Rattus norvegicus: one gene and its partners. The protein of the gene in region 2 purifies or fractionates together with the protein of the main gene of each other region. This does not show direct contact. Links are inferred from orthologs where the notes say so. Each region holds a gene or a part of one and is shown on either strand. Other genes may lie near its edges.

Region 1 (3,500 bases), on a different chromosome or scaffold from region 2:
TGGGCTCAAAATGCAGTACTGCAATGAAAAAAAGAAAATGTTTTTAAACCAAAATATGAATTGTGATTTTTTTTTTTAAGCTCAAAGCTCCCACTATATCACTACTATTATCTAATTATTCCCTTTTATCGGCTTGGTATTTGGGAAGCGCTGGGGTTTAACCATACCTCTCTCTTCCTCGTGTTTTTTGGCGGATGAACTTTTAGGTCTTCCTCTTCCTCGTCTGATATGATCTGAATGGCTGTTACTTCGAGATCTCTTTCTGTTTTCTAAATCTTTATTTACTGTAGAATTTATCTTCTCTCGCCTGACTCTCTCTGTTCGCCTCCTCTTGGCCTCATGCTTGTTTTCTGTATGGATAAATAAAAGTGATTTATTTCAGGGCATCACAACAACGATTTGCCAAGTACCTTCCTTTCCCTTCCTGGCATATTTTCTAAGTCTGTAAACGCTAGCTCCAGTGCCCCCATGCTCACATAGAGCAACCAATAGAAATCAGACGTATGAAGTTAGGGAAGGTCTTCTAAGAGATAGCAAATGTCTTCACCTGGCAGCTTTAATTCCAGGCCCTGCTCCACAACAACCTTTCTGTTTTTTCCATCACGTTTCCAAGTTTAACACAGACACACATAAGGGGGTGGGGTGGATCCATTGCTTTCTGCCCTTACCTCAATTACAGAGTGAATAAGTAGGTTAGAAGTAAAACTGGCCTGAGGCGTAGCAAAGGTTACAATAAAACCAACCACAGAGCACACATACAACATACTCTTAAGACACAGAAAGTAAGGAATTCCCACCTAACCCACGGAGAAGGGTGATCCTTGATATAACAGAATCTTGTTCCATGAATGGAGTGGACAATCCAGGAACTCACTAATATAGAGACTTTATTACTGCAAGAGGCCCCCTATGCCCAACAAATCAAAATGTTAAATTAAAATAATGTTTTTACTTCAGCATACATCTAACTTCAAGAAACAGAAAATTAACTTCCAAAATAACTAAAACCACAATGATAACGGGAAAGATGGAGACTTAAGGACCAGTGTGAGTGGGGACTTGCACAGTGGCACCTGCCCTCAGGAAGGAAAGGCAGATGGAGCTCTGTGAGTTTAGACCGCCCTGGTCTACACTCAGAACAGATAGCACTACATAAAGAAACCCTGTCTCAAAGAACGGGGCAGGCATAAATCACTATTAACTTCCTCTACATGTCATTGTAGAAAGTTTATTCTGGGCCTAAGACTCAAGGATACTGGATTACACAAGAATATTCAATTATTCCAGACCACAAAAAGTCACCAAATATAATTGAGGACTTATTGAAAGATGTAGGATTTAATTTGAAGCAGGTTCTAATGACCATAATAGGACAATCTAAATACCATTAAGAGTACAACTGTAGCAAAATAAAACATATCAAATATCCTAAAACCTCCAGTATATCACATTAAAAGCTCAAACTACTTGTACTGTATGTAACTATGTAAGTCACTGTGTGTAAGCATCTGGTGCTTTTCTATGTCCTCCCCAGCTCCTGAAGAGTGGCATGAAGAGGATTTATTTGTCACAAGGTCTATGGCCTTGTCTTACAGTTGCTCCCATTTAGCTTGTAACTCAGTTATCCTGCTTATACTAATCTACATTCTGCCACACGGCTGGTTACCTCTCCTCAGATTCATACACCCGACCTCCTCTGCATCTGGGGGGCAAATCTCCCGCACCCGACTGTTTCCCAGAATCCCACCTGCTCCTTCCTGCCTTTGCTAATAGGCCACATCAGTGGGTGTTTCAGTTATTAGACCTACTAAATAAGCACTAGAACCAGAGTGTCTTCGAACTTCACAACTGCCAACATTGATAAACGACAGACAGACAGAGTACCAATTATAGTCAGGTAAAAGTAAAACTAAAGAATTCAGTCTTGTGGACTTTGGTTGTTTATCTTTAGTACAAGCTCCTGATCTTGCTGTCTTCATAACACCTAGCTTAGAAGTGGACCACGGGCCCGTTCTCCTTCTAAAGGCCCCCACTCACCACTCACACCTCTCCACAGCCAGTGCTCTCATAGGTCTGCAGCTGAGCTCAACGCACTCAACCTTCTCTGTAAGTTTAGCCTTTTTAGGGAAAACAGGCTTAGTTTGGCCACTGTCACCACACGGTCTCCTGCCATACCCTACTTCCCTGCCCGACCCCCCTGCCCTCCCAGAGTCCTTGTCCCTGCTGCACTGTGTCACTTTGTAGGGCTGGTGTGCCACATTTCCTGCAGAAGCCTGGCCAGTCTGAAGAATGGAGAGGGGTCACCAGGTTTGCAGAAACAATGACAGAGCCCAAGGCCAGTCACATCGTTTTTAAAGCCAACTTTCAACTTAGAAACACAGATCACAGGAGAGAAGGGGATGGGCAAGGAGGTTTATGGGGAAGAAACTGGGAAGGGGGGTATTATTTGAAATGTAAATAAATAAAATAACTAATAAAAATAAATAAATAAAAATCAGATCGTTCAGGGAATATGTTAGCCTATGTCCCTAGGGTCCAAGCACAATATAAAGGCTTTCTGGTAATTATTCCAGCAACAGAAAGCAGAGTAGGAGGGCGGGGAAACAGAACAGAAACATGAGCTGACACGGTGCTCTGTATGAAAACGGCCCCTACAGACTTATAGGGAGAGGCATTATTGGAAAATAAGTGTGCCCTGCTGTGCCCAGCCCTGAACTTTCCAGCCCAGGAGTTGGGTTGCACTTTGCCCAGAGTCTCTTCCCTATATTTTGGACTCTCTCTCTCTCCCTCCCTCTCCCTCTCTCTCTCTCTCTCTCTCTCTCTCTCTCTCTCTCTCTCTCTCTCAATTTCACTACCACTTCCTCCTCTTCTTGTCCTTCTCTATTTTCTCTCTGTATGCCTGCCCGTTCTTTCTCTCTCCCTATTCCCCCTCCCCCTTTGGCGACTCTTCTGTCGTCCTCCATTCTTAGGGGCCACTATACTTGTCCAGGACCAGCTTCCCAATAAACCTGATTAATATATTCTAAAAAAAAAAAAAAAAAAGAAAATAAGTGTGGCCTTGGTGGAGGAAGAGTGCCACTGGGGGTGGGCTTTAAGGTGTCAGAAGCTCTCTTCCTGCTGCTTGCTGATCAAGAATGTAGAATTCTCAGCTCTGCAGTACCATGGCTGCCTGGCAGGATGATAATGGATTAAACCTCTGAACTATAAGTGTTTTTCTTATTAAGAATTGCAGTTGTCATGGTGTCTCTTCACAGCAACTGAAACCCTAAGACAGCTGTTGAACATTCAATACTAAAAAGTTATCATTAATGTTCTATAGCAGTATGGTGTGTTAAAGGTTTTTCTTTTAGGGATTTGATGTCAGTAAAGCACTTGTCACATAAGCACTTGTAACTCACATTTGATCCTCAGCAGCATATAAAATATGGGCATGGTGACATCTGCTTATAATCCCAGCACTGGGAAAGCGGCCACAGGCTGATCCTTAAGGCTTGCTAACC
Region 2 (4,280 bases):
GATTGGTCCCAAGCTTCACTCCAAACAAGGCATAGTTCACATTTCTAGATGAAGTATTAAAACCATGAGCATTGCAATTAGAACCAAATGTGGCTCCATCTGCTAAATTACACTTAAATAGAGAAAAAAAACAAACAAAAAACCCCCCAAAAGCAAAAAACCTCGGTTTAAGGTCAGAAAGTATACTAGTGTGTACATAATTAGCTTCAGATCATTTGATGAAGCATTGATCTTTAATAAGAGATTAGCCAAAATTCAGAAATGTGTTTCTGGGAATTAGGATGAGCAGTCAATCAATAGTCGTAGTCTACTAAGAACTCTGATTTCTCTTCTGAGGATTAGGGATAGCTCACATGCCCCTATCCAAAAGTTCACAGAGCAGTGGCACAGAGATCTAACAGGTCCAGTACTGCAGACAGTAATGAAGACAGACATGTAGAGAATTATTTCTGTAGTCTAGCATGCTATCACATGTCACATGTTAATTAGCTTAAGACACCAATTTAAGTGTTCTTTTCCATTTTTTGTTAACTTTCTTTAATGCAAATATTTGGAATGAAAATACGTCCATCCTAAAAACAAGCAAGAACCAGACAGATTTTCACAGATAACCCAGCAGATTTCCACCATTAGTTGTACAGTTGGTTACTTACATCTAGGTAAAGCTGTTGCATGGGCGTAAGTTAAAAATCACATGACTGAAAAATACCTCCATCCACCCGTCTATCCCATCCCTCAGTAAAGGCTCATCCCCACACAGGAACCCGGGAAGAAGGCGCTGCTCAAGACACACTAGAGTACTGTCTGGTTCTCCATCAGACCCGGTCAAGGTTACATGGGATTTAAGAGTTCATAGCTGAGGAAAGAAGCTGACAGCAGAAGAGACTGAGCTGTTCCCCAACAGTTCATTATTTCCCTGACTCTACCCTCTAGCAGAGCAAACCTTTACTTTGGAAAGGCTGTAATTGTAATTTTTCAAGTTAATTCATACAGTGCATCCTTTCCAATGGATCAGAGAATGCAGGTCAGGGGTCTGCCATGAATCCCACTTCATAATGGTTAAGTCATGTCTAAGTTGTCATGCTTTCCCATCTCTGCTCTCCACGATAGTGTAACTTTTCAATGTAGTCCTCTCAAACTGCCAATTAAGCCAGTGGCACTCGCCTTTAATCCCAGGATTTGGGAGGCGGGGGCAGGTTGATCTCGGAGTTAGAGTCAGCCTAGTCTACATAGGACAGTTTCAGGACAGCCAGGTCAACTTATCGAGAGCCTATCTCAGAAAACAAAACAGCCATTTAAAAGCTGTTTCTATTTTGACCTAGCTTTCTGTCAGGTTTTTGATTTTCCAGCCAATGACAGGTGACTATTTCATTTAAAGCCTGTATTAAAAAAGATTCGACCAAACCAAGAAAACAAACGGTTATTTGCAGCTAAAGTCGGTTTCATTCGGCCTGCTTTTCTACACTGTAATCTACCTCTCCAAGACTTCAATGCACCAACTACAGAAAACGCTCCCAATTTCGTATTGCTTTGTAGAGATGAAGCGTTTCGAGTCCGTGAGGCTAGCTAGTTCTGTCCAATTTCCTTATTACTTCTCTCAATAGTTATCAATTAATGTTCTGGGTGAAATCTGTAAGGCAGGGCACTACTCCATCTAGTGTAATTGGACCCAGAGACTATGACTGCTTATATTCCAAATTAGGGAACACGTACAGTCACCTTGTACCGTCCACTGCACTCTGAGCTCAGCCCTACCTGTATGGAATATGTAGTCTACTTCTCAAAGTTTGCTGCAGCAGGGTCCCCACCACACTTGGACAGACTTCCTAACCAAGATGCCCATGCTCCTTCCTAAGCCCCAGAGCAGAGTATAACTGCGGATCGAACAAAGACCAACAAAGAAGTGGGTGGTAATAACCTCCCATAGAGACATGCCAAGACCCACCAAACAAGAGCAACTCCACGCTCCCTCTCTCCCATCACTTCCCCACAGGCCTACCTACTTCCAATTCAAAACCCTTTAATTGTCACGGAGGAAGTGCAGCCCTTCCATCCGAACCCTGAGAAAGTGGAGCTTGAAGAAACCCGACGAACAAAGGCGAGGGATGGAGTCCACGCAAAACACCAGCGAGACAGCGCCGCTCTGCGAACTTGGCCCCCGGCCAGCAGTAACTCCTCCGCAGCTCCACCCGGGCGCCGGGGTCCCGGGTGAGGCTGGAAGCGCAGCGCCGACAGATCGGGGGCGAGAAGGGGGGACCGGGCGAGCGGGGGAGGGGACAGGGACGCAGGGCGGAGCTCCAGGACGCCGGCTTTGTGCAGTCAGGCCCGGGGAGCCGACAGGGGTTCCTCCGAGACCGGTCCCAGGCAGTGCACCCCAAACATACGCGTGCCCGAGCGGAGGACCGGAGAGGAGCGAAGGCGGGCGTCCCCGAGTAGGCGGGCGAGCGCTGGGTAGGCCGTGTCGGTGTCCCCGCGGGCTGCCACCCTCGATACCCCGCCGCGTCCGACCCGCAGCCCCGCTGCAGGCTCCCCGGCCACTTACCGTCATAATAGTAGCACACTTTCTTCTTGCCGCCTCCTTGACTGTACGCCATGGGCTCCGGCCGCCGCCTCCTGGCTGCGGCTCCTCCTCCGGCTGCTCTCGCCCGCCGCGGCCCGGCGGCCAGACAAGAGGGCTGAGGGAGACGGCGGGCGCGGCGGCCCTCGCAGCAAGGACAGCCCGGAGCGGGACGGCGAGCGGGTGCCGGGAGGGCCCGAGATCGCAGAGCGGGGTTGGCAGCGGCGCCGACGCGCGACACTCGGCAGGGGTAGGCCTCCGGGCGGCGGGGCTGCGAGTTGGGAGGAACCACTGCGGCCGCGCGGAGGGGGAAACACAGCTACGGGCCGGAGGAGAGACCGGGCCGGAGTGGATGCCACCGGTCGAGGCTGCAGCAGTGCTCCGTATGTCTTATCACACACACAGTCCGGAGGTGCGCACAAGCCGACCTTGGCCCTGTGCTCAGAGTCCCGAACGCTCTGCCACCACGTCCCCCTCTCGGTCTGGCACGCACTGGTTGCACCGGGGCCGAGCCTGCGCACTCCGCGCCTGCTCAAACGGATCCCGGGCAGTCTAGACCCCTCCGCCAGGGCTCACGCCTCTCCCCTCCCCCACCGCCGCGACGCGCCTGCCCGAGCCCGCCACGTGCCGCGGGGACTCCGAGGGGAACCCGCTGGAGAGCTCCCCAGGGCTGCCCCCGGGCTGCCTGGTGGTCGGATATTCCCACGCGTTCTAATTCTCCTGTTCTCTCCTCCCTTCTGATAACTACTCTTGAGTTACAGAGAGGTTAATGGCTGAAGGTATCTCCTGGGTTTAATAAGCATTTCTTGGACTCAAGCATAAGCGCGGTTCCCAGCACCCAAACCTGTTTATAATAAACGCCATTTAAAGGTGTCAAAGGTGCCGGGATGCACGCGCCGTGCGCATCTCCTTATGGGTGCGGGTAAATGAAGGAGCCCTCAAGTGTGAGTCATCTGAGGACCGAACGGGTGTCAAACTTTTCCAGACTCCACGTGCTTTGTCTACTGTATCAGACTGTCAGACAATCCAAAAGGATGGATTTAAACATTGGAGTCCCTGTGTTTTAATAGCTTGACGTTTATTGAGCACCAGTCTAAACCAACCTTCTTAAACGTTACGCAAAGAAAGGATGGGAGCTGGCTGTCAAATCCAACACTCACATATCTTAACCGTTATTATTTACAATTCCGGCTACATGCGCACACCGCTTCCTTCCGTAAGAGGAGGGGTTGAAGTAAGAACCATACTGAGTCATTAACAAAAATAATTATTTTCTACCTTGTGACCCCCAGGACTCTCCATACTTAAAACACCAATCTTCTAGACATTACTCCAAGAGACTTAAAAATCACTCCAAGATACCCCTCACCACATCCACTTCTCTCCCAAGCCTGTACTTTTAACAAGACCCTGGGAGATTAACACGGTAGGTTCAGGGACTACAGTGTTCTCCCATGTCTGTTTCCCGTGCTTTTTAATACCAAGTGTCCTTTTAGTTCAGCATTTAACATGTTAACTGTTGGCCGTAACTCCTCAACTGGTCTCTCAGTAGGACACTTTCACAAGAGGATAAGTCGATTTTTTTTTCCCTGAACATAATCTAGTCTAGTGCCTGTGACTTCCAGCAAGCCATTTGAATTTTTTTTTTTGTTTAAGTGCTTTTCACCAATAAAATGAGAGGCTTTCTTATATGACTATTAAAACCTTCTTGGGGCTGGGGATT
Region 3 (4,219 bases), on a different chromosome or scaffold from region 2:
GCAAGGCTCTGCTCTAGCATTGGCTGCTTCATCTCCAGTGCGGCTGTGGGTGCGCTCTCTAACTTCTCTGTGAGGTGGGACTGACACCCCAACCACACTCGAGACTCCAAGCTTCCTACGTGAATTCGCTACATATCCTAGGGCCAGCAGATGTCTGACCTACCCGCCGAGGTCCAGGGACCGTCCACAGACTCTCGTGGGACTATCCGGGAGCTTCCTGGGTGTGCGCTGCCTGGACCTGTGTCCTAGGGACACAGGCCTGGGGCCCGCAGGCGCAGTAACGCAACACGTGGCCAGCCTCGACAGTTCAACGCTTTCCTAAGTTGATTCGCACAAATCTCAAACTGCAAATATGGGGCTGGGGATTTAGCTCAGTGGTAGAGCGCTTACCTAGGAAGCGCAAGGCCCTGGGTTCGGTCCCCAGCTCCGAAAAAAAGAACCAAAAAAAAAAAAAAAAAAAAAAAACTGCAAATATAATAAGGACCACAGATCCAGTTGTCTTTTTTTTTTTAACATTTTTCATTTTCAAATCTATCATTAAGACAAAAAAGTAAACAAAAGTTAGGTCTGTTGCAAATTTTATGATTTTTTTTTCTCTTCTGAGGGGGAAAAACCGTAATAGTAAAAAGAACGCCACTGGGTGTACAGTAAAGCACCACAACACGCGTTACAAACGGGGCTTCCTGCTGCTGCTGCTGCTGCTGCTGACACAGGGGCACGGTCTCTCCACTGCTCTGTGTTAATCAGGACTTCATTAAAGTAAAACTATAAAATCTCCTAGGTTAACTAAGTCAGACACGGTCTGGAACGCAGTGCTTAGCAAGGACAATGCCAGCTATCAGTGCTAACAGAAAACATTGTAGAAGGCCAAAAACAATCAAACCGGAAACCAAAACCTTATTTCCCCTAGATGAGCAGAACTGAAAAGGAAAGGAGCCCCCACCTCCCCATAAGAGCCGAGGGGATTTTTTTCTTTTTTTTTCTTTCTTTCCAGTTGGAGGTGGGGGCCACGACATGTGCTGGCTCTAGGGAACGCTGGCCTAGTTGGCATCCAGTTTGGCCATTTCCTGCACGTAGATGCCTATGCTCTCACTGTCAAAAAGCACAAAGTACACAGTTTTGATGGAGGACGACATAGTGGACACAAAGTAGCTGGAGATGGCCTTCAGAATGAGTTGGGCGGCTGTCTGCTTCGGGAACCCGTTCCTGTAGGAGAGAACACAGGGGGTCAGCACTCAAGGTGTCTACAGCGAGCAGGGTCCTCACCCTGGGCAGGAGATGCTCCCACAGGTGTGAAGAAAGCCCTCACAGGGTAAGCTGTATTAGAGAGCTGTCACACACCGTTGGCACTTGGGTGTGAGCTCTACAACATGACCTCCCTCGTCTCACAGCAGTTACCCCAGGTGTCCTCCTAGCCCCCGTGTCTTGAGGCAGACTGCCTTTGATGCAAGGGGAAAGGAGAGTGGATGGCCAGCAAGGTTACCGTTAGTCCATGGTATAAAAATGTCTGTTGTGGGGACAGGAAGCCAAGCTCATCCCTGGACACTGCTCGGAGCTCTGGGAGCTCTAGGCAGACATGGCTTTGGTGGGGCTCCCCCAGCAGGTCACTGCTAACTGGTTTGATATCTATGAGCGGCTTGCTCTCTCCATTAGGCGTCTAGAATTGGTTTCTGCTGGGATGTTTTAAGTGTAACATGACCTGGTGTGAAGTTTGCAGTCTCTCTGCTGCTTACTGTCTTCACGTCCACTTGCTGCGTGTTAAACAAGCTCAACTCGTTCAAAACCATAAGCACTGCTGTGGTAGAACAGACAGAGCCATCCAGCGCTCACAAGACGAGGGACAGGCAATATAACCAGGCATCTGTGAGCAGGAAGAAGAGGTGGGACCCAGAGAGCATTCTAGACAGTGGCAGCAAGAACCAAGGACACTGAATGCCGAGCGTGGAGCGGTCAAGGTGCGCAAGCTCCTGCTGCTTTTCCCCATGGTCCCCGGAACCGGCAGTCCATGAAAGCTCCACTGCTGAGGCGCCTATCAGTGTCAGTCCACCATGGCCATGGGGTCTGAGTAGCTCTGCCCTCGAGTTGTATAGAGCACTCTATACAAGTGCTCTATACAAGTGGCAGTAAGGGCTGTTGGTCCAGGGACCATCTCCAAACTGCACCAGCTAGTGTTAGAGCAGAGGGCAGGCAGGGCAGCCACCGTGGTGCAGAGCAGAATTCTGGGGCAAGTGTCGATAACCTTGACTTCAGGTCATCACGGAAGTCTCCAAGTCAGCATCCTGCCACTGATGTCACAGGGGGCTCCGAGTGTGAACTCAGGACCTGGAAGCCTGAGCCAGTCCCTGGCCAATACAGCATGTGCTCTTACAGAGTGGTCTGGCCCAGTGGAAGGAAACTCTGCTTGGAGCAGCCTTCAGGGCTACGCCTTGCTCACTGCAGTCTACAGTCCCTAGCCCACCTGCCTGCCACTCTGGCTGGTCCTCTCTGAGTTGATGATGTGATCACAGCACACGCAGCCTTCTACACTGTGCCTGTGACCCTGACTCCCCACCCCGCCCCCGGGAGCCGCACTCTCCCCAGCTGTTAGTGCTCAGGGCTCTTCACAAGGCCACAGGAAAAGCTCTTGCGACCTGCTTTCGCCTGGGAGACCTGGGCCATTGTGGGGTGTGATACATGCTCAGGGCCTCTCCCCATGGAGCTCGGCTCGGAGTTCCAGACAGTCTGGTTTCTTCCCGGAACAAGCCTGATGGTCTAGCTAAGCTGGGGGTCAGTGTGACAGAAGTCAGGGCTGCAGGGAGGCACCAGGCAGCTGGCACAGTGGCCGCAATCCTCTCAGGCAGAGAGGGGAGCACAGGAACGGGCCAGGTGGGAACTGCTGATCTGTTGTAGAGAGAGCGCGTTCCACCCTCTGTGTGTATCCTGCTGGAGCCTGCATCCAGGCCCAGGGAGCAGAGAGGGTGGCCGGGGCAGGCAGACCTCAGTCCGTGGGCACAACCTGGGCTGGCAGGCTCTGAGGAGAGTGTGCAGGGAGCTGTTCTCTGCATGGGTAGGTTTGACCCATATTCCACCAGTGCCATGCTACTGAAGGCCGGCCTGCCTGCCTGCCTGCCTGCCTGCCTCACTTCACGCCCCTTCAGATGAGCAGAGCCGGGGAGGCCCCCCAGACGAACGGTCACAGCTGCGTGCTGCTCCTGTGCGCTCAGCCAGCTGGTGCGCTTGGACTCTGCCGGGCACCGGCCAAGTGTGTGATGTGATGAAGATACATGGTGTTGCCCTGGCCTCTCTCCCGACTGCAAGGTCAGTCTCCTAAGAGCATCACAGGAGCAGGTTACGCCTAGCCGGTTCAGCTGTGGCTGAGGGAAGGCTCCTCCCTGGTCCTGGGTTCTAACTCTGAACCTGTGGCTGGTGCTGACATCACAGAGAGTTTGCCTTGCACACCCGGCTGGGCTCTGCACCTGGAGCTTTTGCCCCTCAGGCCTTCGGCCACTCTGACTGGGAGCCGTGGCCTACATGCAGGCAGCGGGTCAGGACTCCACAGTCTGGACTCTCAGAATGCAGAAGCTGGGGAAAGGGAGGCTGAGAGGTTTATTCTGGTAGGGTACCGCCCACCTCACATACCATACTCTAATCTGGCCTGCTGCTGGGCCAATGGGAGCCTGGATTGGTCCTAGGGAGCCCCGCTCTAAAGTAGCAGACCATGGGGAGAAGCAGAAGCAAGACGGGCATCTCCCTGTGCTGCTGGGCAGGGTCCCAGGCGCCCCCTAGCTGCCCTAGCTAGACACACAGGTGATGAAGTAGATTCATGGCTCCCCTAAGGTGAGAGCCTCTGTAGCTACACAGTGCCTTGGCTGCCCCATCATAGATGACCTGATGCCCTCCGCTTCTGGGTTGTGCCCTGCCCTAGCCCGGTCAGGTCAGAGTGGTGGGACAAGATGATATGTATTAATTAGGTAGAGTGTGGGGTCCAGGCCTGCTAGAGACAACTGGACTCCAGGATCATCCGAAGGTGGGAGACTATCCCCCAGAGCCTCAGAGAGCTACGACTGAGTGACCGTTGGCATTTAGTTACTGTGAGCACTTTAAGCAACGCCCGCCTCAGCTTGCCAGAGCCTGCAGACCAGTGTATGGTGCCCAACTGTGCTGGAGGGCTGCAGACCTGGACGCTGGCACAAACACAGGCTTCGAAGCACGGGCACTACTTTGGTTCCCATCTGAATGC
Region 4 (3,500 bases), on a different chromosome or scaffold from region 2:
TTATTAACAGAAACCTCATTCATAAAGGATTCCGGGACAGCAATGCCCATTTTCAATCTCTTTGCTGGTCTTTCCGATTCTTCGCTGCACATGGGGTTTAACTCTGAGTGATAAAATCCAGTCTCAAATAAGTTAAAACAATCACTTTCACCATTGCTGGGCAGGGTGAGTAACTCTTCCGTTACGACAGGCACATGATTGACTTGTCCACGGGGCGCGTTCCCCAGTGGAGAAAAGCTATCATCCAGACAACTCACATCTGTGGGGTTGCAGACAGTTGCTACACTGTTGGTCAAAGCTAAAAGAGAAATGAAAGTAGATTAGGTGAGTGGTCGCTTGATGTGTAACAGAGGCTGTGCAGGCAGTCTCATCTTACCTGTCAAGTCACTGGCAGTGAAGGAGCTGAGAATGTTCAGCGGCTGATCAGGAATGGGCTCAGGCCGGTTAGAAGTTAAGGCTGAAGAACTGACCGTATCACCCAGAGACTCTGTTTCATCTACAAGACGATCCATATAGTCCCTGAGGAATACACATCAATAATCATAACTGTGCATCAGAGTTAAACAATGCAGTCACTCAATCAAGCCCACCATACTTACGTAACGCCAGGATGATGGTTATAGCGTTTCTTTCCAAATTTTGTCTGTTGAGCAAAGTAATCGTAGCGTTCTGACTTCTTCCACATGTAGTAGAAGGCTACACATTCAGCAACAGTTCTCGATCTCACCTGGGAAAGGAAGGTGGACACTGCAAACTGATGCTCCCCACTCCATTTTTATTTAGCAAGACCATCAACAAGGAAGCTTAAATTCACAGGACTTTCCTTGCACAATTACAAATTCTAAGTATGTCTATCAGTGACTTGTCACTACAGAATGAGCAGATTTCAAAAGCACAAGTTGCTAAAAACAAAATAAAATGCACATCCAAACAATATTCTGTTTACTAAAAAAAATCCTCAAACAATTGTGATTAAACACTCATTGTGACTGACAGCTGTCTGGATTAGCCAGCATCCAAGGACAGGTCCATGAATGGTTGTGCTTCTAATTCCCCTAATGATGGGCAGGTAGCTGAGGAGGAACAACAGCTTCAGCAGATGATCTAAGGACTCCGTGAATCCTGGCCCAGCAGCCTCCAGCTCTGCAGAGGACGCCGCTACCCGAGGCAGGGCCTCTCTGCCCCATGTTTGGTTCTTAGCTGCAACAGGCGTAACAACTGACTGGAAAGTCAGACAGCCGGCTACAGTCAGAAGAGACCATACAGACTTCCTTATCTTCAGTGTACACATTCTTCCAATTCGTGAGTGCCCCAATACAGACATTGTAGAGTCTCTCTCCTGATTCCAGAGTAAGCTGTGATCTAATGTCACTAATAGAGGGAGAAGCTTTTGACACCAGGAAATGCAGCATAACTTTCAATAACCATCATTAACTATAAGCATATAGTGCCTGTAGAGAATACAGGCTTCCTGGAGCCACACGACTTTTCTGTCTTAGCCACTGATATGAATCTCTAGTGCCTAAAATAGCGTATGTAAGTGTGGGATACAACTGCTTATGTAAAACTGATGTTTAGGACACAACCCAGACATCTCTAAACGTGTGTTGTCTATTCACACTGTATATACAGCAGAAGTTTCCAACACAGTAGTGAAAAAGGAACAAGAAACGCAGAGATAAAAAAAAAAGGCACACAGAACAGAAAGGAAGGAAAGAACCATCAGAAGTGGCAGAAGCTGTCAAAAAACCCAGAGAATCAACAGAACAGAAGTGGCTGGAGTCCAGTCAGGCAGCGGCTCAACAAACAGGAGTGTCCGTTCACTCAAGGCCAGCCTGGCTTCGGAGGAAGCTCAGGACCAGTGCAGGCAACTTACTGATGGATACCCAGTCTCAAAATGCAGACGGCTGGGATGAGTGACATGTGAGGCTTTGCCAGGTTCAATCACCAATATCAAAACAGGTAAAATACCAACAAGCAGTTTTAGCACAGTTTCAGGGTTGAGGAGTAAACCATGAAGATTAACCTACTATAGCCAAGCAGAGTAGTTCGCACCTATAATCAGAGCACTGTGAAGGCTGGGGTAGGAAGATCACTAAGTTTGAGGTCTGTCTGGGTAAATAAGTATCTATGTATATATAAACACAGAAAAAAAACAAACCAGAAATTCAGAAAAACCTTTAACTTCCCTATGTACAAATAATGACGTGAAATTTACTGAAAATACATCAGTGCCTTCAACTAGATATGAGTAAAACTATAAAACACTTAATGAATTAAAGAAGTGGAGAGATAGTCCACGTTCATGGATAAGAAGACTAATGATTCTGTGTGATCCCAAATAAAATCCCAGGTTACTCAGGACACCTGATTAACTGATTCTATATGGAACACAAAGCCTTAGGATAGCAAACATGGGGCTCTATTGAAAAGCAAAGGAACTTTGTTACTTTAACGCCTTGCAACCAACAGTGTGAATAAGGTATGAGACACATGGCTTTAATCTCAGCATTCAGGAGGCAGAGGCGTTTGAAGTCAACCTGGTCACATAGTGAATTCCAGGCCAGCCAGGGCTACACAGTGAGACCCTGTCTCAAAGAAGGGAGAGAGAGGGACAGGGATAGCAAAGAAAATCTGATACTGTAGTGTTTAGATAGAGAAGGCAAACACATTATTCAAGGAGCCCACAAACGTAAGCACTGATAAATATGATCTTTGACCAAGGAGTCAGGCAGTTCAACAGAAACAATCAAGACTAAAGCCCGACAAACATTTGGAGACCTTGTATCTTGACTCTGTAGAGTAGTACTGAGTTCCTGAGTATGGACTTCCCGTGTATTTGCTGCACACACAGGCCCAGCTCCCTGTCCCTGTCTAGGCTAGAATGTGCTAAGCCTGCATTGCTCCATCCACCACTGTTACCCACAGCCTGAGACTACTGGGCTCATGTACGACTCCTTCCCAGTACCACACTTCTCTACGTCCTCTACCTCCTTCCCGCCTTCCTACCTAGCCTCTGCAGTCACTCAATGTTAGAGCACTTTCACTTTTCCAGTGTCAGGCTGTGAGAAAGAGCCTTGGATGCACACAGTCTTCTTGAATACTTTTCACTTAGCATTAAATATGTAAAGCTATTCCCCATGTCTTTTGCGATTTGCTGTTTTTACTGTCTTTAATACTAAGTGACAGCCTATTGTCTGGATTGTCACCAGTCTATGGATTTAAGTACTGGCACAACAATAAAAGCTGACTGAATCTGCTCTGAATATTTTCATGCAGGTTCAGATTGAACATGAAGTTTTCAACTCATCTAGGTGTCAATACAGAGAGGGGACTGCTAATTCATTTAGTAATATGTACAGCATCAGACACTCCCAGTTGCCCAAGGCGGCTGAACCATTCTTGCTGCTGCCCTGCCCCACCCTGCCTGGCCCACCCACACTGCCCAAATGGCCAGTGATTATCGCAGGTTTTTAGATGCTCTTAGTAATAATCCCTTG
Region 5 (4,284 bases), about 38 Mb from region 2:
GGCTCACAGCCATCTGTAATGGGATCTACTGCCCTCTGCTGGTGAATCTGAAGACAGTGTACTCATATATAATAAGTAAATCTTAAAAACAAACAGCTACAGTGTACTCACATAAAACAAACCTTAGAAAAGAAAACAAAACAAGCCAATTAAAGAGAGAACATCGGGCCAGCAAGATGGCTCAGCGGGTAGGCGTGCTTGCTGTGCAAACCTAAACCTGAGTCTGACTCCCTGGATACCATGAAAAGGCAGAGACCAGGCTCCGCAAACATGTCCTCTTCTGTGCCCCTCCCCCGTTCCACAAGCACACTTAAAATAAGTGTTCTTTCAAGACAGGGTTTTCCTGTGTAGCCTTGACTGTCCAAGAAACCAGGCTGGCCTTCAACTGCCGGCCTCTGCCTCTCAAGTAATGGCACTAAAGTCGTGTGCCACCAACACCCAGCAATAGATAAAACTCTAGAAGTCTGTAATCAGTCTTAAACTACCGATACGGACATCCACTAGTCATCTACAACGTCTCTGTAAGGAAGAGACGCCTAAGTCACACGCAAATGTTGATAGCTTAGCTGGCCTCTGCCTCTTGGCTGCTCTCATAATTTTATGAGGGGTCTGAGCCTCACACACGGCCTTCTGTACCAGAGGAATACAGTCCCACCATGATGAGGTAATCCCTTTCCCAGAAGCACAGCAATGAGAGCAGTTGGAGAGGTGGCTCAGTGGTTAAGAGCAAGGGGGAGACCCAGGTTGGGTTCCCAGCACTGACTCACAACTCCTTCAAACTCAAGCTCCAGGGGATCCACCACCCTCTTGCCTTGAAGGGCACCCCAGACACACACGGTGGTTCTCAGACATACATGCAGATTAACCACCCACAAGCATAAAGCATATGTTTTTTAAAAAAAAAAAAAAAAAAGGAAAAAAATTAAATGCAGAGGCTGGCTCAAGACGAAATCCTTGGTATTATAGCAAGTTCAGTCAGCCCGAGCTACATGAGACCGTCTCAAAAACAAAAATAAAATAAATAAAAGGCAGGTGTGTGGCACCTGCAACCCCAGGAAGTGGGGGACAGAGCAAGGTGGACCTCTGTGAGCTAACCCAACCTAGTCTACAGAGCCAGCCACCTAGGGCTACACAGCGAGATCTTATTACTTACACACACACACACACCCTCCCCCCAAACAAAATAAGCCCCTCAAAACAAACAACAGCAAAGCAAACAAGACCCAGCCCAAGCCACACTTAAGGTGAGTCAGGAGCTTTTAAAACTTTGCATAATTTTGACTCTGGGGTTCTTGTCACCCCCCAAGGAAGAGTTCCCAGTAAGAACTTTATCTGGTTTGAAAATGGTCTCAAAGTAGGGATTTAAAAACAAAACAAAACAAACAAACAAACAAAAACCCTTCCCTAGGCGCTTGCTCAAAGGCAAAACAAAAACAAAACAAAACAAAACACACACACACACACACACACACACACACACACACACACACACACACAAACCGGGAAGGCTGATCAGCCCGGTCATTTGTATAAGTGTAATTATAGGACAATAACTACATAATTAACTCTACATCTGTCAGTCTCCGCTGCTGACCACCCCTCCCCCAAGAACACAAACTCCAGGAAGCCGACAATTACTCCGCTCACAGAAGCCCAGCCCAGAGGCTGACACTTGGTAGCCTATTGGTAAATTCGAAAAAAAAAAAAAAAAATCTGAATACAAGAGGTCCGGAGGCTAAATCCCGGAAGAAAAAAAAACCACCAAAAAAACCCAAAACCACCAACAAAAACAAAACAAATTCCCAGCCAGACTCCCCCAGTTTTTCCACCCGACTTCCACACTCTCACCTGTCCGTTGCTAGGCTTGGACATGGTTTTCCGAGCTCGGTGTACTTTGGGCTGCCCCTCCTGGCCGGCAGTTGTTGCCGGAGGGGGCTCAGGCCCAGCAGTTGCAGCTCCCTGGGCCCCAGGCATGCTCAACAGCCTCATGGCCAAACTCTGGACCGAGGGGGGCGACTTTCCTGCCCCTGTCATTGACATTTTGGCCCGACTGGGACAGGCACCCCCCTTGCTGGGGGAAGAGGGGAATGACTTTGTGGCATGGCCTAGAAAAGAGGCAGGCAGACGGGGGTGGGGGGGTGCAGGGTAAGCAGAAATGCAGAAAGCCCCCTTTACACCCCCTCTCCCTCGCTCCCCAGCCTCTCACCCAGCAGGATTCGACCCCCATCTCCCTCCAGGTTCTCGGGTTCCTCCCCGATGAGCGGTGTGGCCCCGACAGGGGTGTCAGCCCCCTCATCGCCGACGGTGACAGTGACAGAGGCCGGAGAGGAGGGGCCGGTAGGCTCCAAGGAGTCGGGGTTGGCCTTGGGAAGGGTCTCCTCACTATGAGAGGTGTCCCCCAAAGAGCCATGAACTGTCGGGGAGGGGAAAAGAAAAAGTTCAGGGCTCCAGGCTGCCCGGATCCCGTGTTGGGGGTGGGGAGGGTGGAGGTCCGGTCGGGCCTGCCCGGGCCGCACTCACCTCTCTCGGCGGCTCCTCGGGGCTCCTTCTCCAGCAGCAGCGCCCCCATCTCAGCGGGGGCCTCCCCCTGGGAGGGGAGACAAGGGACCGGAGGGCCGGTCAGCCCGGCAGGCAGCTGGGGGGCCCAAGACGCCTGGGCCCTGGGCAGCGAGAGCAGGCTTCGGGGCCTACCTCGTCCACGGTGGGCGCCCCCGCGACCCCGGCCGCGGCCGCCCGTGGGGGCCGCACGCCCCCGCCCCCGGGCCCGCATCAGCCCCCTCCCTCTCGGCAGACCCCGCATCTCTGGGGCCGGGAGCAGAGGAGGGGGAGGGGGCGGGGCCTCGGCGCCCCGGCCCCGCCCCCTCCTCCCGGCTGCACGCGCCGCTCCCCCTTTGTCCCCCAGGCCGCGGGGACCCCGGCCACCAACCCCTGCAACGCCCGCTGCGCCCCAGCCCGGCGGACGGCCCCTCGCGCCCCTCGCGCGTGCTCCCGGGGTCGCGGTGCCCACCGCCCACGCAGGGGCAGCGGGCGGCGGCACGTGCGACTCGGCGCCCACTCCCCCCACCTCCCACCCCCTGGTCCCCTCATCCGCCCCCGGTGTTGGCCCCCTGGTTTGCTGCAAGTTCGGCTCGGGCCCCCCGGCCCCGTTGCACCCCCGGAGCATTGCACGAGCGCGCGCTTCCCCCGGGCGCGCGCGCGGGCATGCACCCGCCTCTCCCCCTCCCCTTCCGCACCTCGGCGGCCGCCGCCGCAGCAGCTCCCGCCGCCGCCGCCATCGCCGCTTGCGCGGGGGGCCGAGCCGGCGCGCGGCCGCCCCGGGTCACGTGGACAGGGAGGGAGGGCGAGAAGACGCCTTAAAGGAGCCGCTGCGGGCCTTTTGGACATTTTTGCCCCCCAAAATGGCCCTGGAGGTCCAGAACTGGGGTTGTAGGGGAGAGGGCGTTCGTTCCTAGCCTCGGCTCCGCCGGGAGACAAGGGTGAGGCCCGACTGGGCTGTGGCTTCCCTGTCCCCGCCCGGTTTGGGTAACACGTGTAGCCTGAGCCTCTGCAGCTGCCGCGTGTGTCTTTCTGGTTCTGAGCCGCCAGATTGAAGGCTGGCTCTTAGTTTTAGACTCTAGTGCACAAGAAGGGGCGACAGAGACTCTCGGAAGACACCTTTACTTCTGGGTCAGTGTGCTTTTGAAAATCTGGGAGGGGAAATGTCTTCTGTTGCACTAGAGATGACAACTGAACGCAGCGGAGGCCTCGAGGGCGACTACAGTCTATTGACAGTAACTATTTCTGCCCAAATACCATCGGGGGCTCATGGTCCAGCTGACAGCTAAGCGTGAATGGTGGACACGGCAAGTATACAAGCCCTGAACACTATCGAGGGCACCATCCCTGTCCAGGCATTAAGTCCTGAGCAAAGTTGGAAAATGCCTGCATTGGTTTTACACACAGTATTAGACAAGCAGGTAGTTATGTTACTGGGCCCGAGGCCAATTCGGCGTCTTCTGGGAACTGTAGTTCTCTTTGGATTTAAAAAACTTTTCAGAGCTTTCTGGGAAATGTAGTCTTCTAGGTAATGGACTGTAAGTTGAGCTGGTATTTCGACTTTCCTTAAAATTCGAACTGATGCCTGCTTGCCATCTCTGTGGGTTCATTGGCCACCTGTGGTCCATGGCTTGCACTGCTACCAAACCCCACAAGGTCTACTCCAGCACTGGGGCTGCCAATCACTCGTGTGATAAAGTTTCTGCCAAGGTGTTTAGGGCGTGTTCCTAGTCTCTGCTTGAGAGCTGG
Region 6 (4,146 bases), on a different chromosome or scaffold from region 2:
ACGCGCAGTTTGGCGAAAGGAAATAGCGCTTTAAAATACAAAAATCCGTAGTTCTGATATGATTTCCTTTATTGCTCAGACGGTAGCTGAAAACTGCACGAAGCAGCGCCCGTGTCTCTGGAAGGCAGCCGCCGCCGAAGCAGTAAAGCCCTGCTAGTGGGAACCCGGGGCTCAGCAGGAAAAGTTCCTAAGCCTGGGGTCCCGCTCTTTAGAAAGCACACGGGCATCCTTACCCGACACGAGACAAAAATCAATGTATCTCACATGCGGTGACTGACAAGTCTCATCAGATCAGAAAGGAGGCTCAGCTTCTGGGCTCAGTAGTGGGCTACAGGGTGTACAGCTTGCTTAGCAATTAACATGGCTAAGGCTCGCGGGGTCGGGGCGGGGAGGGGGGGGTACGATCCTTAAGAAAATTCGAAAGGTTTTGCTTTCTGCTTTCGCTTGGTCGGATGCAGGGCAACCAGGCAGGGTGCAAAGCCTTAGTCAGGCTTTCATTTCACAACTTACTGCTCGGTTGAAACGATCTCCCCGCCTCCCCTCAAACACACACACACACACACACACACACACACACACACACACACCTAACCTTTGAAGTCTCAAAGCCATCAAGCATGTGTGCATTTATTCTCTCTCAGGTGAAAATAAAGACACCGGGCTCAATGAAAAGCCAACAGGAAAAACAGTTTCGCTGGCGCACTTTACACTGTTACAACGAAGTGAAAGGAGCCGTGGGAGCAGAGAAAGAAGCAGGCTGACTGACCCAGGAGGCCGACGGCCCTGTATTTAGATTGATCCCTGCGACCTGAGTTCTGAGAGAAAAGATGCCGCTAGAGAGTGTGTGAGTGCAAGACACGAGTACGGAGTGGCTGGAGCTCTGGAAAGACGCCCGCGAGGACGGCGTCTCGCCGGGCGTTACGTTGGATTCTCCACAACGAGAATGCAGGGGAGCTGCGACTGTAGCCGGCGCCGCTGAGCCAGGACGCGCCCGGTGGTGCCGCATGCAGTGCCTCCAGCCCTAAATTCCAATGTGCAAGGGATTGGGAGGGGGGTACGCTTGGGGACTTCACTGGGGAAAACATATACCCACATCCTATCTTTTGCCTCTGATCCGAAACAAAACAATTAAAGAGAGTTCGAGATTCCTCAAGTCCAAGTGTGAGAGGCATGGGCGGTCTGGCCGGTCCCCTCTCGAAGCAGCTCTGATATCCGAGGGAGAAAGTACACTGCAGGCTGCTCGCCGGGTCCCCTTCAACGCTGGGCGGAAGCATTTGAACAAACCCAGCACAGACGCCTGCTGGTCCGTGCTAAGCAACGCTTCCCACCCTACGCTGTCCCTGAGTGTCACCCAAGCCTTCGCTGAAAGCGTGGGGGATGGGAGTCCCGTTCCCCGTAGCCTCAAACCCCACTGCCCTAGTCCCGCGTGACCGAGGCTGCTCCGCTCCGGGCAGGCAGAGGGCGCCGGGGAGGACCAATGACCCGGGACCCCTGCTGCACCCAGAAAGAAAGTGGCAGACTGAACTGCGCCCCCTCCGCGGCCCCGAGTTCCGACAGCCCGCCCCCTGGGGGTCACTCGGCGCCCTGCCAGCCCGGGCTTCTCGGGTCGGAGCGCGCCCTCCCGGCCTTATGGTGCTGCGTTCTCGGCTGGCCGCGCGCCCTCCGCCCCCAGGCCGGAGAACGCCAGCGAGGCCTCCGCTCTCCCCACCTGCCCAGTGACTCTGCGAAGCCGAGAGCTCGGCGCTGCCGGAGCTCCCCCAACCCATCCCCAGGACCGCGCCCCCCCACACCTCTGCCTCCCCTTCCCCAGGGCTCCCGGCGCGCCGCACACGCCGCCGCACACAAGGACCGAGCGCACAGCGCCCACTACCGCAGCCGCGGCTCGGCGCAGCGCCGATCGCCCGCGCAACTTGCAAGCGGCCGCCTCGCAACTTTTCCCAACTCCATCGCGGCCCGCTGCCGCCACAGCCACCACGGCTCCCTCTGAGCCCGCCACCCATCCCAAACCCCAGAAACAAACAGAGCTTCGGAAAGGCGCCCTTCCCCTGCCCGCCCCCCTCCCCCCTCCTCCAGCTCCGGGGACTAGCTGGTTGGCCAGAGGCGACTCTCCCCCGCCTGGGGGGGAAGGGAGGGGAGGGGGACACACTCTCCTCTCCCCCCACCCCTTCGCGCTCACTCGCGCGCGCTCTCCTCCCTCCCACTCAGCTTTTTGCTGCCCCCACCCCCACCCCGGAGTTGCCACAGCTGGTCCTGGTGCGGGGCTCAGGGCTACCGCGGCTCCACTGCGCCCAGAGCAGGAGCCAGGGAGCGGAGGCAGAAATCGGCAGGTTGCTCGGGCTGCAGGCTGCGCTGCGCCTGCCTTCCACCCGGGGCCCCCCGCGCCAAAGCAGCCCGCGCTCTCTCCCCGAGTGCTAGACACAGATATGCAAGATGGCAGAGAAGGGGGGGGGAAGCCAATAGAAAAGGGATATTGCACCTACTTGTGGCCAGTTTCCTTGCCCTGCCTTTGGATCTCATGCTGTGCCCAGTTCTGCAGCCGCTGCTGGGTGGTTAGGTTTTTTTTTTTTTCTTGGATCTTTTCCTTCTTTTGGTCTCTCTCTCCCCCTCCCTCCTCCTCTCTCTCTCTCTCTCTCTCTCTCTCTCTCTCTCTCTCGTCTCACACACGCACACACACACTCGGTCTTTCACTCTCTCTCTCCCTCCCTCTCTCTCTTTCTCTCAATCCACACTCGCTATCTCTAGCATTGTCAGTTTGGACACCTTCGCACATGCGCGTTAGACGCCCCTCCAACATCTCAGCGCCGCCAAAAAAAGTTTGGAGCGATTTATCACTTTGATTTGGAGATCTTGTCAGATGGCAATCGCCGAGGAGGCGGAGAAAGGGAGCTACGGGGAGGGCGGCAGGGGGCGGGGAGCGAGCGTGGGGAGCTGGAGGGGAGCAGACACTTCACCCAAACGGGGGGGGGGGAGAAAAAGAAAAGAAATGCAAAGTCTTGGACAGAGAATTGATTCGTGGGGCAGAGGACTGTGCCTGTGTGGGAGTCAACAATAAGCCTGCACTGTAATTATTATTAATGTTTTCTCCACCATAAATTACATTGTCTATAGGGGAAACGAGCGGAGGAGGAAAAAAAATACTTTAGGTTAAATCTTTCCGTCTTCAAAAGAACTAGATTGAGGGCTGGACCGTGAACGCATTATCAGAAGGCGAGAAGCATCTTGAACTTGAGAGATCTGCTGTTGCTGCCCGCGCTCTCCTCCTGAAGTTCCTGGGGCTTCCGCTTTGGATGAATAACCGGTTCTCGATTTTAGCTATAATACTAACGGTAGCTGCTATCCTTGGAACATTTCAGTAGTCTGTTTCCATCAAGTAGCAACAATCGCCCTTGATGCTCGGGTCCCGCCGTGCTGGGTGTTTGACATCCAAGACCTCCTGCCTTGCCTAAGGTCGGCCGTCACCTTCCGGCCTCCTGCTGCTACTCAGTCTGCCTGCCATTTCCACTCACTTACTGAAACCTACAACCTTTGGGGTCACCAGAAGGAGGAAGGGGGGAAATTCCATACGCATACCTAGAAAATACAAAAAGAACATTGTTGAAATGTGCCTAATTACTGAATTTACTAATGAAGTGTGCAGGCAGAGAGGAGGACGCAAGGGGTTAGGTGTGTTCGAGGTATGAATCACTCCCAACTCAGTATGGATTTTTCTCTTAGTACAACCTTCTTTCATTAAACAGTTGTGTTCAATACCTTCCACGTGCTATTTATGTCTCCATTAATATCTGCTGCAAATCCTGCCAGACGCCATAAAAGAAAATTGCAATCTTTTCCGTGCGGTGCTGCTACCATCCTCATACTCAAGTCAGAAAGAACAGGGGGGGAAGCTGGTCCTGGCGTCTTCTCTGAGAGAGAATGGAGGACAGGCGGGTTGTTGGGACTCAGTTGCACCTGTTGGTATTCATTTTGTCTGAGCTCAGACTGCGGTTGTGAGAGAGCTAATATCTAGGTTCAATTCCCAGGGGACTTCGGTGGCCAAGAAAACCAACGCTTACAAGACCTACCTCAACTAAGGATACCCACCACCTTCCCCTCCCCAGAGCTGTGTAATTCCAGGGGCATTCAGACATAAAATACAGGTCCCTAGAG
Region 7 (3,074 bases), on a different chromosome or scaffold from region 2:
TGAATCATAAAAAGGTTTTGATTCACTCTCAACTCTCCCTGTTGGTCAGACACAACTAATGGCTTACTACCTGCTCACCCCCATTCTCTCAAAAGAAGGCAAGCAAATAAATTGTCTAGAAATGAGGAAGGTGAGAAACAGGCAGTTAGTTGCCCTCGTATTATGAGACAGCCAGCCACTGTGTATCAGAAGGCCTGTTTTTCATCTTTTCTGCAAACACAGAGGGAAGCTAATGACAAAGCAGAGGTATGGTGGGGATGCCATGAAAAAGAACATAAAGTACAAAAAGTCAAGGAAGGGGATAGCCTCATACCTCGCCCTTTCCTCTGTCGGACTGGGGCATAGTAGCGGATGCTCACCACCTTTGTGGTGCCCCGAGGCGTGGTACACTTGCGAGACTGTCGCACCACATTAGTGAAAGAGAGCTGCATGTGTTCCTCAGCTGTCTGCAGTCCAAAAAACTTAGTGTTGAAGAACATGAGGGTGTTGAGAAGGACAAAGGGAGAATAAACCCCCAGTTGCTTGCACTCCCAGAGGTGTTCTTCCTCCACACGGGAGAATACAGTATCTGTGATGGACAAAAAGAAAAAACAACGGGGGTCGGCTTCCCAAAGCCACCTGAGTTCCTAACATGCATACACTTAACTGGGCTTCTTACTGCATATAAATCCTGGCACCTGACCTACACAGTAGGACTGGGAAATTAGGGGCTGGGAGAGTTGACACAGGGTTTTTCTGTGTGACTTGTCTGTCCCGGAACTGAGCATTTTAATATACTCTTCACCTGCATGCAACACTTTTCTGACCACCTCTAAGTTATATGCAGGTAGACACTAAGCTTAGAATTCCTACATCTTGCTTTCTTTTTTATCAACGTATCACCGAAACTTGGACTATTTCTGGTCCCAGAGATAAATCTAAAGATCTGAGTCTTTTTTCTCTTTTTCTTTTTAAGAAAAGTTTTCCTCTATGTAGCTCAGGCTAGCCTTGAACTTGACATCTTGTCTTAGTCTCCTGAGTAGCCTGAACTATAGCCACAAATTATTGCTCCTGGATGAGACTGAAGCCTTGACCCTTTCATCTTCCTTTTTTTAAGTGTTCCTATTAAAAAAAACAAAAAAGAAAAACAAAATAGGGCTTCCCTATGTATTCCTGACTGGTCTTGAACCACTATGTAGACTAGGCTAGCCTCAAAACTCAAGAGATCCCACCTGCCTCTGCCTCTCAAGTGCTGGGATTAAATGCACATACCACCAAGTTCAACTCATGTTCTTTTCTTAAAAAAAACAAAACAAAACAAACAAACAAACAAAAAAGACAGTATCTTAGTATATAGTCCAGGCTGGCCCAGAACTCACAATTCTGCCTCAGCCCCCCCTGGTGCTGGGATTCTAGGTATGCATCACCACATGTGGTTCTCTTTCTCATGCTCAAGGGCACAGATTCTGGCTCCATTAGCCGGAAACCCTGAGGCATCCAGGACATACTCCTACCCTTGAACCCTTAGTGAAGAGTAACAGGCCGGCCAGTACAGGACTCTTGCAGTGGTATGTTGGAAGAAGGAAAGAGGGGAAGGGATTGCTAAGTTCTGTCCCTTACTGTTGGGGAGGAGTGTGGGCTGCCAGGTACTCAGAGACTTGTTGAGTTCTTGAACGAAAGTCAAGTAGTAAAGGTCCGTGAAAATGTTCACCATTCGGTTATTTTCCAGCAAATACTAAAGAAAGAAAAACAGACATACATAAAGTAGGCTACAGGTCCTAGACTCCAGGACCTAGAGGAAAGAGCATATGATGAAGCTGCAGTCGCGGTCCTTGATAATTAAAAGGGGATGGGAGTCAATTGCTTGAGTAGATAACCCGGAGTGTTATGTGTTCCTGCATTGCTGATGTACGGAGGCTTTGCTGAAAGAGGCAGAGGCTTGGAGATGGTCCTCATAAGCTCAGACACCCATATCAAGTCATACCTGCTAAGCTCTCCTAGGCAGAACTAAACACTACCTAACTGCTCAAGGAACTCAGCCCCCACATCCTTCCTCAAAACACAATTCAAGGTGACCTGGAGGATCCAAATAGCAGTCAACACTGAGGCTTGAACAAGAGTCCTTGAATGAAGAAGCTCTGATTTTAGGAGGTCATTGATGTCTATTTGTCATAGGAAATTTAAGCAAGCTGCCTATTCAGGGTCAGAGACAAGTGACAAGGAGGGATGGGTTAGAAACAGTTCCAGTAGAATTCTGTATACTGTGTGGGAGGTGAGAGAAAACCCAGTGGTGTGCGAGAGTTACCTGCTGAATACCAAGACACAGGTAGTAGATACTGTCAGGTTCATATCGTTCACCATTGGGTCGAGTAATTTCTCTCACAAACTGGGCCAGACCATAGTTGAGCTCAGCAGCTGAACAGGCGAGAATATCCTCCTTGATACGCATGGGTTTGGCTGTAGTGACATGTGGTAGAGGGCAGGGTTAAGAAAACGTCATTTGGAGAATTTCACTTAGCTCTACCAACAGCCCTTCACTCATAACTAGCTCCTGAAAAACAATTACAAGGTGTCCTCAGCCTTGGACTGTTAGCTGTCTTTACTGGATGGGGAAGCCATAGGTGATCATACCCTTACCACTCCAGGTATCTTCAGCTGATCCTAGCTATAGACCCTTCTCTTTCCCTCCCATGTACTTACGGCCAAAGCGTAGCTCATCACCTTTGCTGGTCTCTCCATTGGCATATTTTGACTGTACCCAGCATTTCCAAGCATTGACACCATATGAATAGTTGAGACCAGTACAACTAGGCTGGCTGCTCAGAGAGTCTCTGGAACAGCTTTCAGAAAGCATCAGCCTCTTTTGACCCTGGAAAGGAAGTCAAAGGGAGAAAGGTAGCAAAGCAAGGCCAGGGCAGCAAAGAAGCTAGTCAGGACAGCGCTCACCATCAGAAATGGGAGCACTGGGATAAGACCACGGAAAGCTTCCATGGCAGAGTCCCAGAATTACTTTGATGATCTTGTTTACTGAGAGAAAAGCAAACTGTGAGAGCTAGGTCTCAGTATTTCTAGCGTTGGAGAAAGGAGGCCAGGGA

What was found.
Region 1: the proteins of Hdac2 (region 2) and C19h16orf87 purify together in Homo sapiens (co-immunoprecipitation; 4 studies listed by BioGRID and IntAct, with this or other methods). This does not show direct contact. The link is inferred for Rattus norvegicus from reciprocal best matches to the Homo sapiens genes HDAC2 and C16orf87.
Region 3: the proteins of Hdac2 (region 2) and Macroh2a1 purify together in Homo sapiens (affinity purification with western blotting; 3 studies listed by BioGRID, with this or other methods). This does not show direct contact. The link is inferred for Rattus norvegicus from reciprocal best matches to the Homo sapiens genes HDAC2 and MACROH2A1.
Region 4: the proteins of Hdac2 (region 2) and Mier3 purify together in Homo sapiens (affinity purification with mass spectrometry; 3 studies listed by BioGRID and IntAct, with this or other methods). This does not show direct contact. The link is inferred for Rattus norvegicus from reciprocal best matches to the Homo sapiens genes HDAC2 and MIER3.
Region 5: the proteins of Hdac2 (region 2) and Ehmt2 purify together in Homo sapiens (co-immunoprecipitation; 4 studies listed by BioGRID and IntAct, with this or other methods). This does not show direct contact. The link is inferred for Rattus norvegicus from reciprocal best matches to the Homo sapiens genes HDAC2 and EHMT2.
Region 6: the proteins of Hdac2 (region 2) and Mecom purify together in Homo sapiens (affinity purification with mass spectrometry; 3 studies listed by BioGRID and IntAct, with this or other methods). This does not show direct contact. The link is inferred for Rattus norvegicus from reciprocal best matches to the Homo sapiens genes HDAC2 and MECOM.
Region 7: the proteins of Hdac2 (region 2) and Zmym3 purify together in Homo sapiens (affinity purification with mass spectrometry; 6 studies listed by BioGRID and IntAct, with this or other methods). This does not show direct contact. The link is inferred for Rattus norvegicus from reciprocal best matches to the Homo sapiens genes HDAC2 and ZMYM3.

Annotation. Positions count from the first base shown.
Region 1 is NC_086037.1:37,817,187-37,820,686, reverse strand, and holds part of C19h16orf87 (UPF0547 protein C16orf87 homolog), read right to left. Parts: intron 351-3,500; coding exon 168-350; intron 1-167.
Region 2 is NC_086038.1:42,101,647-42,105,926, reverse strand, and holds the start of Hdac2 (histone deacetylase 2), read right to left. Parts: upstream 2,801-4,280; 5' UTR 2,595-2,800; coding exon 2,543-2,594; intron 1-2,542. UniProt on the Homo sapiens protein: Histone deacetylase that catalyzes the deacetylation of lysine residues on the N-terminal part of the core histones (H2A, H2B, H3 and H4).
Region 3 is NC_086035.1:8,543,550-8,547,768, reverse strand, and holds the end of Macroh2a1 (core histone macro-H2A.1), read right to left. Parts: intron 1,207-4,219; coding exon 1,041-1,206; 3' UTR 501-1,040; downstream 1-500. UniProt on the Homo sapiens protein: Variant histone H2A which replaces conventional H2A in a subset of nucleosomes where it represses transcription. Nucleosomes wrap and compact DNA into chromatin, limiting DNA accessibility to the cellular machineries which require DNA as a template.
Region 4 is NC_086020.1:45,042,662-45,046,161, reverse strand, and holds part of Mier3 (mesoderm induction early response protein 3), read right to left. Parts: intron 728-3,500; coding exon 600-727; intron 520-599; coding exon 377-519; intron 299-376; coding exon 1-298.
Region 5 is NC_086038.1:3,937,911-3,942,194, forward strand, and holds the start of Ehmt2 (histone-lysine N-methyltransferase EHMT2), read right to left. Parts: upstream 2,801-4,284; coding exon 2,521-2,800; intron 2,414-2,520; coding exon 2,207-2,413; intron 2,106-2,206; coding exon 1,849-2,105; intron 1-1,848. UniProt on the Homo sapiens protein: Histone methyltransferase that specifically mono- and dimethylates 'Lys-9' of histone H3 (H3K9me1 and H3K9me2, respectively) in euchromatin.
Region 6 is NC_086020.1:114,836,547-114,840,692, reverse strand, and holds the start of Mecom (histone-lysine N-methyltransferase MECOM), read right to left. Parts: upstream 2,801-4,146; 5' UTR 2,518-2,800; coding exon 2,481-2,517; intron 1-2,480.
Region 7 is NC_086039.1:70,571,148-70,574,221, forward strand, and holds part of Zmym3 (zinc finger MYM-type protein 3), read right to left. Parts: intron 2,849-3,074; coding exon 2,680-2,848; intron 2,437-2,679; coding exon 2,285-2,436; intron 1,715-2,284; coding exon 1,600-1,714; intron 569-1,599; coding exon 314-568; intron 1-313. UniProt on the Homo sapiens protein: Plays a role in the regulation of cell morphology and cytoskeletal organization.